Diceros bicornis minor: one gene and its partners. The protein of the gene in region 3 purifies or fractionates together with the protein of the main gene of each other region. This does not show direct contact. Links are inferred from orthologs where the notes say so. Each region holds a gene or a part of one and is shown on either strand. Other genes may lie near its edges.

Evidence for each region.
Region 1: the proteins of ATXN2L (region 3) and G3BP2 purify together in Homo sapiens (affinity purification with mass spectrometry; 4 studies listed by BioGRID and IntAct, counting the BioPlex papers as one, with this or other methods). This does not show direct contact. The link is inferred for Diceros bicornis minor from reciprocal best matches to the Homo sapiens genes ATXN2L and G3BP2.
Region 2: the proteins of ATXN2L (region 3) and LSM12 purify together in Homo sapiens (affinity purification with mass spectrometry; 4 studies listed by BioGRID and IntAct, with this or other methods). This does not show direct contact. The link is inferred for Diceros bicornis minor from reciprocal best matches to the Homo sapiens genes ATXN2L and LSM12.

What each region holds. Positions count from the first base shown.
Region 1 is NC_080747.1:61,142,559-61,146,303, forward strand, and holds the start of G3BP2 (ras GTPase-activating protein-binding protein 2), read right to left. Parts: upstream 2,797-3,745; 5' UTR 2,714-2,796; intron 1-2,713.
Region 2 is NC_080757.1:42,705,859-42,709,603, forward strand, and holds the start of LSM12 (protein LSM12), read right to left. Parts: upstream 2,657-3,745; 5' UTR 2,620-2,656; coding exon 2,496-2,619; intron 689-2,495; coding exon 555-688; intron 1-554. UniProt on the Homo sapiens protein: Nicotinic acid adenine dinucleotide phosphate (NAADP) binding protein. Confers NAADP sensitivity to the two pore channel complex (TPCs) by acting as TPC accessory protein necessary for NAADP-evoked Ca(2+) release.
Region 3 is NC_080765.1:22,122,446-22,126,190, reverse strand, and holds the start of ATXN2L (ataxin-2-like protein), read right to left. Parts: upstream 2,526-3,745; 5' UTR 2,043-2,525; coding exon 1,741-2,042; intron 1,121-1,740; exon of another isoform or gene 1,099-1,120; coding exon of another isoform or gene 1,061-1,098; intron 1,034-1,060; exon of another isoform or gene 720-1,033; intron 699-719; exon of another isoform or gene 627-698; coding exon of another isoform or gene 607-626; intron 593-606; exon of another isoform or gene 350-592; intron 186-349; coding exon 149-185; intron 1-148. UniProt on the Homo sapiens protein: Involved in the regulation of stress granule and P-body formation.

The DNA of each region.
Region 1 (3,745 bases), on a different chromosome or scaffold from region 3:
ACAAGTAACCTACACATTCCTTTATCTCCCTGAAATAGGTAAGTTATTAGCTTCATTTACAGAAAATGAAACCAATGTTTAGAGAGCCTAAGGAAAGGAGTTCGAGGTCCCCCAGTTATAGTTATGAGAGAGAGGGTTTGAAATCAGGTCTCCTGCCTCTAGTGATGTTTTCACTACACCTGGTTAAGAACAACTGCTTTGGAAGAATAGCCAGGGACACAGAAATACAAAAAAACTTTAAAGTCCAACTGTAAGCATACTGATACTGTTGGGAGGAGCCAAAAGCACAGAACAGGAATGTAACAGGGAATCCAAGAGAGTCATACTACAATACCACAATCCATACTACAATCCAACATAGCTACCATGGTATATCAAAATAGGGTAAAATCTCCAGAAATTAAAAGATAAAAATAAGCTGAGGCAGCAATCAAGAAACTGATTCTACTGCTTCTGAAGCCAGTCCAGAGTTCTGGGAAAGGAACCAATTTGTTTTATCAGCTCTTAAGTTTCCACAGGGAGATTAACTAAGTTATGTTTGTCAATTAAATTCTACTGAATTTAAGTTCAGAAACAACCCTTAAGTTTGTACCTCTCAAAACCAGCCTTAAAAAAGGGTCATTCCCCACCTCCATACCCACTCAGCAAAAAATGCGGTAAAAAATCTTATTTAAAGCAACCTATGAAAGAATTTTCAATCCTGATAATGGTTAATCAACAGCAATAATTCTGCAGCATAAGGAAGCTGTTAAAAAACTAAAGGCACTATTAGTACTTATAGATTTCCAGTAACTGATATCGAAATTTTCATTTTTGACCTCTCAAGTGAAATTCCTGCTACCAACAGTGCCGATACTATTCAAAATCAAGAGTTGTCTTTTGACAAATCAACTGCTCAGCTGCTAACTAAATACTCAATTCGACTATCAAACTATTCAAGACTTATTTTTTTCTCCTTCCTTCTGTACTTCTGATCCCCATCCACCCCACAAGCATTCTGGTTCTCTTCACTCTCAATACTTGTTCTTCATTGACCAATACTTCAACCTCAAATATTCAACAACCTGAACCATAACAGCTCTTAGATAGTACGCAATCCACTGGAGGTCCTCATCCTCCCTACAATTCCTTAATAACCTTTCAAAATTAAACAGCCTCTAGAGATTAAATAACACAAGGATACACATGACTAATCCTAAAAATTTAAGAAAATAATATCACCAAAGAAACAACAAAATTCAGTTCCAAGAAGTTCAAACTAATCCTACGGTCCATTTTTTAACACCAGGAATTTTGGATATCAAAAGGACCACTGAATACTAACAGGGCCAAATGTTTACTTTGAAACTTCGTTCACACGCCTAAAGCTATATGAACTGCCAAATATGGAGCTGAACAAGGAATTCCTATCTTCTTCCCCTCCAGCATACGGGGCTTCCTAACTGCCGTTAATGGTTCACAGATCCAGGTACACGCAATGCTAACATTTGGACGACTAGCACGAATTGTGGAGCCCTGAACCTAAAAAACCAGCATTTTAACTGAAGTTAATATCACAACAATCATATGGGGGGGGAAAGAGGAAACAACTTTGCTATTATTCCAGCTTTGGTGCACGTGGGTTTTGTTGTTGTTTTGTTTTAAAGAGAGCAAAGGCACGGCACCTCCCTTCCAAAAAAAAAAGAAACCTGTTAAGAAAACTAGATATACCTTAGAGGAAAAAAACTGATCTATGCGGAAAATGGTTGATGCAAATCTATATTTGCTCCAAAGCGGCACAGGGACATCTTAGGAAATCTGCTTATAGAGAAGCAGGTAAAATTCCATCATATTCGACTAATAAAATCAACACAATTCAGGGAAGCGTATATTCCTCCTCTTGACCATCCTTTCTGTTCCCCCCCAAAAAAGTGGAGAAAGAGGGAAACAAAAAAACCCATTTCCCAAAGCACTCAAACATCTTTTCGATTCCTGGGTCAATAAGGGAACGTTTGCATAAAAAGGGCACGAAGAAGGCGTTACGTTATATGTAATTCGGATCTCTGAGCACGTTCGGGATAAACCCGAGGGGAGTCGAAGACCACGGACCACTAGATACTGGATAACCAGAGCGGCGACTACCTTCAAACCCGGATTCTGTTTCGGTGCACAGAAATGGTGCCCGGAGGCCGCTACTTTCGCATCTGCGTCGCTTCTGCCTCCGCCGACACAGCCTCTTGTCCCCTCCCCCACGGGCGGGGCGGCGACGGCCTCTCCGCTCCCAGGGAACCGGCAATAAGAGACGCAAATGAGTCGGAAAGAAGGCTGGTGGGCTCCACACCCTAAAACATCCTCTCCAGAAAACCCACTCCGCACGTCCCACATTAAGCCTGCATCAGCGCGCCTTTGGGAGCCGCTGCGTCCCCCTTCCCAGCTCGCCACCTCATCCCCAACAGACCCCGGCCCCACCTGTGCCCTCAGGGCCCTCCGTCCGCACAACGCGGGCCGGCCGCTTCCCTTCCCACGCGGCCTCCCATCCTTCACCTGAGAGGAACGGCTCGGCTTCTCTCAAGCACACACGGCAGCGTAGGCAGCCGGCAAGAACAATGTCTCGCTCTGCCGCAACACCTCTGACAGCAGGGCTCACGGGACGGTTGCCTCGAGCCGCGGCGCGCGAAGGGAATGTCCCCTTCCGACCACCACACCGACCTCCCTTCCCGGCCCCCGTACACACCTCCAACCAACAGTGGGAGGGGGTACGTCGGCGCCGAGATCAGCAGGAGAGTCGCCGAGGACCGGCTGCCGCGGATTCTTCTCGCTTGCCGCCTCCCCCGTCCGCCAAACCTCAAGCCTCGGAAGCCGGAAAGCCGCGAGCTCGCTTCCCTTACAACCACCTCTTCCCGGGGGCCAGACGCTGCGGCGAGCGACAAGGAACACGGACGTCCCGCCCCCTTTTCCACCGCCCCCTCTTATTGTTTTACCCCTGCCGAAAGGCCTGGGGAACCCCCCAGCACGGCTTCAGCCAATCACACATCTCCTTCGCGAGCTGGACCCAACCTTCTCGCGTCCCTCTGCGAAGCACGCGCAGAACGCCGCCGCGCTCACGTACTCTCGCGCCCGGAAAGTCGGGGAACCGGAACCGGCCTCAAGCCGGGGCGAGAGTCCGCTGATTTGACGTCACAAGGGGGCTGCCTTTCTACTGCTCCTGCCTCGCCGCTCTCGAGATCGCGCGTGAACAGGAGCCGGTTCGCTGCTGCGCTGTCTTTTGGAGACCGATATTTCTGGTTCCTTTTGATTATTAATGTGATGAGGGAGAGAATTTAGTAATTTTCTTTCTGAACTAGGCGTCTGCAGGTTGCTGCTGTAGACAAGCATAAAATGCAGCCAGTGGTTTCAGCTGTTTGCACCCTAAACTCATCTATAATTGTTTATTAACCCGTCCTAGGATATGGATGTTTTAAGTTCCACCGAGAAGGTCAAATTCATCCTAACAGCTCAAAATAATATATATTACAGGGCCTACTGGGTGCTAGGCCGTGGGATGTAGAGAAAATAGGACGTGGCCTCCACAGAAGGGAAAAAGTCTATTTCTTTGCCCGTTCTGTACTTAGGTGTTGCTAAATACATACTAAGCATTTTACATACTAAGGCAGCTAAAAGGCTGAAATCCCAGGAGATACTGGGATTACAGCCCTGTCCTAGATCTAGGCCCAGGCTTGGCTCCAGGGTATAGCTGGGAAGACACTAGACACTGACTCTCCTGACC
Region 2 (3,745 bases), on a different chromosome or scaffold from region 3:
CACAGCGATTTGGGGGATCCCAGATATCAATTTGTACGTTCAAGATTAAAATATCCTAAACCTCTAATTTTGTTAGACCTCAAAATTCAAACATGAAGACAAAAATGAAGCTCCAAGGCAGTGCTTTTCATATTTTTGTAGGTCATGAATTTCTCTGAGAATCTGAAAAATACTCCATATCTTCACCCAGGAAACACAAATACACAATTTCAGGAGGTTCACAGGCAACACCCCTACCCAACCCCACCAACAACATAAGTTCACACGTGGACTCCAGATTAAAAAAAAAAAAAAAAAAAATGCCCTCTTTGACAAAAGACAAAAGTGAGCTCTCAACTCGGGGCATTAAGATGTGTCTTAAAATCTTCTGAAAACATCCAGGAATAAAGAGAAAAACTAAACTGATATATTTCTTAAAAAGATATCAGAACAAACAATTATAAGTCAATGAAAAAATGAAAACCAAACAATGGACAATGTCTGTATCACCAAGAGTCAATGAGACTCAATTTTCCCACCATTTTGGAGAGCCAGAACTGCCCTCAAGTCCTTACCTTACTAACATTGAGTGAAGCTAGGGGAGGAGGGGTTTCTGTTCGGTCATTAATTATTTCCACTTCTGAAACATACTGTAAGTTTATGAGCAAGATGTCTGCGTGGTTGGGCTTTCCACTGGAAGAGGGACATTCTGGTGAGAAAATAAAGTTAAGGAAATAGGGGCAAGCAGAGTACCAACACATCCCAAAAGGGGCATGGAAAACACAATTCACACAAGGCTTGTGTAAAAGGTGTGCCACGAGCAAGAGGGGGGAGCCTCACGAGAATCACAGCTCTCCTCAGGAAATCTCTGCCTATCACCTTCCTCCCGCTCAACCCCATAACCAAAAGAACTCAACCTTTTCAAAGCCAAATACAATCCAAAATTGGAAGCCTCAAAAGGGTTTCTGTCACTTTCTCTCTACCAGTGTTATGGAGAGGAATAATGCAGTTTCAATACCATGTGTATACTGTTTGTCTTGAACCTAATGAACCACAAATGACAGGCACTTTCTGTTCTTGCCATAATACTCCCTACATCTATAGAGTGCTCTTTTCACTTTTTTAGATTTGAGATTTCCCATTTTGCAGAGGGGAAAACTACAGTACTGGAAAGGAAACTCACTCAAGGTGACCCAGCTAGTGAACCCATTTATTCATTCATTCACTCACTCATTCTCCAACCATTTATCAAGAGCATACTGTATGCCAATGAAAAATAGAGTTAATTCCTCATTCCAAAACGCTTCCAACTAAACTACTAATGTAAAGGGTCTTATTTGGTCCAGGTATGAATTCCTGCATTAAAAAAAAAGCAAAAAAAAAAGTAAATGTTCTTGCTGTAATTAGCTTCAGAGAACATCCTCCTAATAAGCTAGAAATCTACTAATGGTTAAATGAATTAAAATACTTGCCACTCAAATGCAGCAGACTCAGTAGGAAACTTCCTTTTGAAAGAAGCCATAAAGGATTACGCCTCAAAAAAAAAAAAAATCCAAATAAACCCACCTGTGGCTCAAATAAAAGGGGAAGGGGTGGCACATTTATTACAACCAGGAAGTATTTTGTTTCCAAGATTGAGTTTCCTGGAGTAATTCAGAAATCACTTCCACCCCAAAGAAGCAGGCCACCTTTTCCATTCTGCTTAACACTGCCAATTTCAAAAGGGTAGGCTACTACCATGGAAAAGTCAGAATTCCATGTGCTGAGCTAAGCAAGAGAAGATAACTTACTCTTTCACCTGTAACCCACACATCCCTTCACACGCCCCTGAAAAACATGGTCCTTTCCCTGGACCAGGTTTCCAATGCAAACATCCCCAAAACAGCAATTTTCAAACGACTGAGAAACCTAAAATTCAGCACTCCCCGCCCCCAACGGCACCACGCATACACACGCACCAGCAAAACAAGCCCCTATCCCCAGTTCAGATACAAACTCTGTCCTGCCGTTACACTCCCCCAAAACAGGCGAGGCCCATTTGCTCACCACCCCGCCGCCCTCCCTTGGACCAAATCCCCTCCTAAACTCCACACCCTTGCCCTACTAGCAGTTCCTTACTCTACACACCCCCTCCCCACATGATTTTATCCGCCCCCCTTCCATCCAGGCTCCAGTCCACCAGCCCCCTCCGATGACCACCCCCTCTTCTCATCACTGTGTTCCCTCTCATATCGTTCCCCCCGAAAAGCCATCCGCGTGTCAAGCACCCCTCCACCCATCGACCCTCGCTCGGGGCCCAGCTCCCACAAGGGGTGGGAGACAGGGTCCCCAAAGCAGACCGACGGACCCGTGCGAGGGGGAGGGGAGCTCACATCCGTGCGCATGCGCTCGGGGTGCCGCGGTAGCCGGTCGCCCCTAGGCCCGGAGAGGGCCCCAGCCGCCGCCGTCGTCCCCCACCCCGCCACCACCACACATACACGCTGGCCCGGCCTCGGGCTCCGCGCAAGGAAGGATACTTAAAGCCAGCATTTTGGACTGGTAGTCGAAGGCTACCACCTCGCCCTGCAGCCGCTGCTCCTGGCACGTCCGGCACGACACCTGGCTCCCAACGCTGAAGTACTCGCCCGGAGGAGCCGCCATCTTGGGAGAGCAGCCGCGGCCGGCGGCGGCGGCGGCAGCAGCGGGCGAAAGCCGGGCCCCCAGTGAGCGCCGCGCCGCGACGCACGGGGCGTGCTGTCGTCACACGCCAGGGCGTGGCCTGGTGCTGGGGGGGGCGGGAGCCTAGGTAGAAGAGGAAATAAAGGAGAATCTGGATAATTATGTTTGTGCAGCTGCGCCAGCTTGGTAAAGTGCTTGCAGGGTCCATTTTAGAAGTTAAGGATAAATGACCTACGTGGAATGAAAAGGGAAAGGAGGAAGGAGCTGCAGTCTTCATTATGTGCACACCTTGACACAAGAGTTTAATGAATGAACTCTATATTTTACATACGAGGAATCCGAGGCCCAGAGGACTTAACGAAACTTGCTCAAAATGATTATACCTAGTTACAAAGTGGTAGTGGAAAGAACATTGGCTATAGAATTAGCTAAACCGGATTCGGAATCCCAGGTCTGCCACTTACTATGACCTGGAGCAAATTACTAAACCTGAACCTTTTGTATATCATTTATTGAGCATCCAACAACGCTTTGAGGTAAGAATCAATATCTTCATTTTACAGGTTAAGAAACTAAGTCTTAGAGAGACTAAACTTGTCCAGGGTCGCACAGCTAGCAAGGATTCAATCTACCTTTTTCCAAAGACAGTGCTATTTACTGCTATACTATATTAGATAATACCTCATAGAGTAGTCAGGAGGTTAAGTGAGATAATATGTACAAATGCATGGCATGTAGTAGGTCTTTAATAAATAGTAGTTCCTCCATGATCACCCATCATCCTTGGAACTCAAGATGCTTCCCCATCTCCCCTCTTGCCCTCTCCTCTAGAAAGCCAGGCAAAAGGCAGAAGCGAGGAGCAGTGGTAGTGACAAAGAGGGCCTTGGGGCAGGATTTTGGGAGTCCCCTCCATTAATGTCCATCTGATATACAAAACAGTTTCTTAACGTGTACTATGCAGATACATTTTCAAGCTCTACCATCACCAATTGCCACCCCTAACCCACCTACCCCCCCCAATATAGAAATTCTAGAGCCTCACGTATGAGTAACAATAGGTTGACCTTTCTTTAGTCCAGAGGGAGGCAAAGGGCCAGCCCTGGCACTA
Region 3 (3,745 bases):
GCCCACACTCCACTCACACCCACCTTGGATGTGCTGGGCCCCGTTCCCTCCTGACCACCTCTGACTATTTCTGCACTTAATCTGTCCTATATTCCCACATATACATTTTCAGGTCTCTGTACCTCAGAGGGGGGAAAAAGGCACTCACCGGTGACTGTGGGGGTCCCTTTCCTGTGCTTTGTCCCCTATAAGACAAACAAGAAACTAGTTATTTAAATACGTTCAATTTCTCTCACACAACTAAATTCAAAGAACTAGGTATCCTACAACCATACCTAAAACCTACACTGGGTGAAGACGCAGATTTAGGCTACAAACCAATTAAGCAATAAGATTTTCAAACTCTCACCTTATAGAGAAAGAAAGGTGTAGGCATCAAAAGCTACTAAACACATTTTCTCCAAATGCCAGTAAAATAAACCTCAATCAATAACGGTTGTCAATTGTTTTAAGAGGCAATTCAACACAACCTTCTCACTTTCTCCAAGGGGCTACATGCTTCCCACAGACCAATACTACAGTATTCAGTAACCAATAACGCAGCCCAGATGGAAAGGTGGAAGCTCAAAAGCGCAGAATCGGAACTACCTAGCTCAGCCACATTACCTCCCAAACAGAAAAGACATTTTCAGTAGCCTTATGCCCCAAACCCTGGGAGGAAGGTATTCCCTCTACAACCCATCCTCTCGACCTCTTTACTCATTCAGTCTGCTACCCACTCTGGGAGGGGTCACCGATCGCCCGGTAACCCTACTCCTCGCTGGCTGATGTAACCGGCGGTTGAAGAGGGCGATGAGGGGGCCGTTGGCGGGGCCGGGGGGACAGCGCAGCCGCAAAAGCCATCCACCGGGAGGCCTCGCCCGGTCTGCGCCTGCGCACTAAAGCCCACGGGCCTCTTCAAAACCTCCCCTCCCGCGATCAGAACCCCATGCGCCTGCGTGTACCACTGCTCTCAATTCCATTAACCCACACACAGAAGAAACCGAGTGGGGTGTCGCCCACTCATCCACGACCACCAGGCAAACCTTTCCATGCACACTCCCAGCCCCTGCCCTGTTACCCGGGGCTCGCGAAAGCCTGGGTCATAAGACAGAGCATCCGCGCGCACGTACGGGAAGAGCGCGCGCGCGCTGGAGGTTCCCGACCCGCAGTCCTCCCAGTCGTCCCTCCTTCCGTCCCCCCGCCCATCTCGCTCCCCTCCTACTGGTCAGACTGGGAAGGGGGAGGTAGCAACCCGCTTCCAAGTCCCTCCCTCCCCATTGGCCAAACTGTGGGCCGCGCGCCCCCCTCCATTGGCTACGGCCGGGGACCCCTTCCCGCAGCTGACTCCCCATTGGCTGAAGCCGGGGACCGCGAGACCCTTCGCGGTAATGGAGCCGGGGACCCCGATCACCTCTTCACCCCCCCAACTCCTCGTTCCGAGAGCGCTGACGGGATGCGCCCTGCCTGCCCTTAAGGCCCGGGCCCCGAGCCCTACCTAGGCTCTGAGGGCTGAGCACGGCCCTTAAATGCCCTGGTGGCCGCCCCGGGACCCCTTTCCTCCGACCTGTTAGGACCTGAGGGGGGCCCACCTCCAGCTTCACGGGGAGTCCCCCACTCACCCTGGTGCCCCTCAAAGGTGGCGAGAAATGGGGGCCCGCCTCGCGAGTGTACTCAGCTCCCGGCCGCCGGCCCGGAACCGAGCCGCCAACGCCGCCCTGCAGCCTCGGCTCCAGCGCCCGGGAACCCACCCCTCCTCACCTGGCGCTGCCGATGGCCGCTGCCCCTGGCCTCTCCTGATGTTGCTGCTGCGGCGGCGGCGGCTGCGGCGCCAAGATGCTCTCGGCTCCCCGGCGGAGCCCGCTCCCGGCAGCGGCTGCAGGCCCCAGACAGGGGGAAGCGGCCGCGGGAGGCCCTGGGGGAGCCGAGGTGGAGGCCAGGGGCCCCGGGAGGCCGCCGTTGGGAGGGCTGCTGCCTCTGGGAGGCCGACGGGCCACGGCCTGTTGCGTGGGGGGCGGCTGCTGGGGCTGGGAGGTCTGTTGTGGCGGCTGAGGCTTCAGCATGATGGCAGCGTCCGGAAGGGGAATTAGGGGGAAGGGAGGGAGAGAGGAGACCGGGGCTAGGCCTCCGCCGGGGAGCGCGGGAAGCGAGGGGGGATTGGGAAGCTGGGGACCCGCCGTTGGCGGGCGGGGGGAGCCCCGCGGTGTCAGGGGTGGATAGAGAAGACCGCGGCGCGAGGAAGCGCCGCGAGGCGGAAGGGGAGGGGGTCCCGCGGGCCGGAGGAAAGCGAGAGGGCGCGAGCCGGCCTGGCGCGCGTGCGCGTCGCCGGGGAAAGGGGAGGGGGGAGGAGCGCGCGGGCGGGAGCACCGACGGGGGAGGGGCGGGGAGGAGGTAGCGGCGGCGCGAGAGGTCCGCGCGCACCTGGGCGGTTAGCACAGGGCGGGAGAGGAGAAATAAAGAAAGGTGAACCTCGCGCCCTTAGCCTTTAGAATGGGAAAGGAGCAGCGCGGGCGTTCACGCGCGCCAAGGACTTAAGGTCCCTACGTCTCAAACAGCCCTAGAGGCTGGCGGCCGCTGTCGCTTCACAATGAGCGTGTGAAGCCCTGGGGGAGGAGCCGAAGAAGCAGAGAGGAAGGAAGAGCCGGCTGCCACGCCTACGCCGCCGGCGTAGCGTCGCGATGCTTCCGCAGAGTGTGAGATGTCGGGACGTAGCGTGCAGTTCTTCCGCCATTTGGGGGCCCGTGGGCGGAGTCTACGTGCAAAAAAATCCCGGGACTAGACCCACGTTTGCTTTTAGGCGGGTGGTACGCTCCGTGAAGCGGTAGTCTGGACCGTGTCTGCTTTAAATAAAAGACTGACGGACGTTAATCAGTTTGAGCGTGTCGATCTTTTCAGATAAATCTATGCCTAATCCTAAATTTTGAACTTCAGTGATTTTAAACCTAAATGGTTTCTTCGTGCCCTAGAATGAACCTTTAAACTAGTAACAAAGAGACAGTCTGAAGGCCAAAGCTCCTAAGGTCTAGTACAGAATCCTCCACCCAACTCTGCAATAAAGCCAGCCTTCATTCATTCAAAATTAGTTGGGCATTAGGACATTAGGCTAGATGTTTGGGATACAACTGTAATTAAACTACTTCCTGCCCTCAAGGAGTTCAAGCTAGTGGTAACTTCAGAAAATTAGATCTATTAGGTGAAGCACAGGGCACTATGAGCAGAGAGAAGTGACACCTAATCCAGCTTTGGGTGATGGATTTCTAGTCAGAAGAAATAGGATGTGACAAGCCAAGAAAATTTCAGCATGGCTGGAGCATAAAATTAAAGAGGGAGGAGGTTAAAAAAATATGAGACTGCAGAGGTAAGTAACCTGGGACCAGATTTTAAAGAGATTTGGATATTATCCTCAAAGCAGTGGGGGCCTTTTACAGAAAAATGAAGAGATCGTATTTGCATTTGTAACCTGGAGAATAGAGTGGAGCAGTGATGGGTCTGTGGTCTTAATCCCAGTGAAACTTCCAATATCTCAATCTCTCTTCGCTCCAGGCATTATTATTGAAGTCTTCCCAACCCCTCTCCCCCAAACACACACAGCTGGCTAAAAGTCTGCCTTAGTCCTCGGGAAGTACTCCTTCACCCCTGCCTCACTCGTAGCTTCAAGTGTGTTAGGTTTCCTTCCTGTGTGCTTGCCCAGCAATGTACCCCACTTTATTCTAAGAGCTCCTTTAATTCTGTCTTCCTGCTAGTGTCAGCTCCCTGAGGCTTGGGG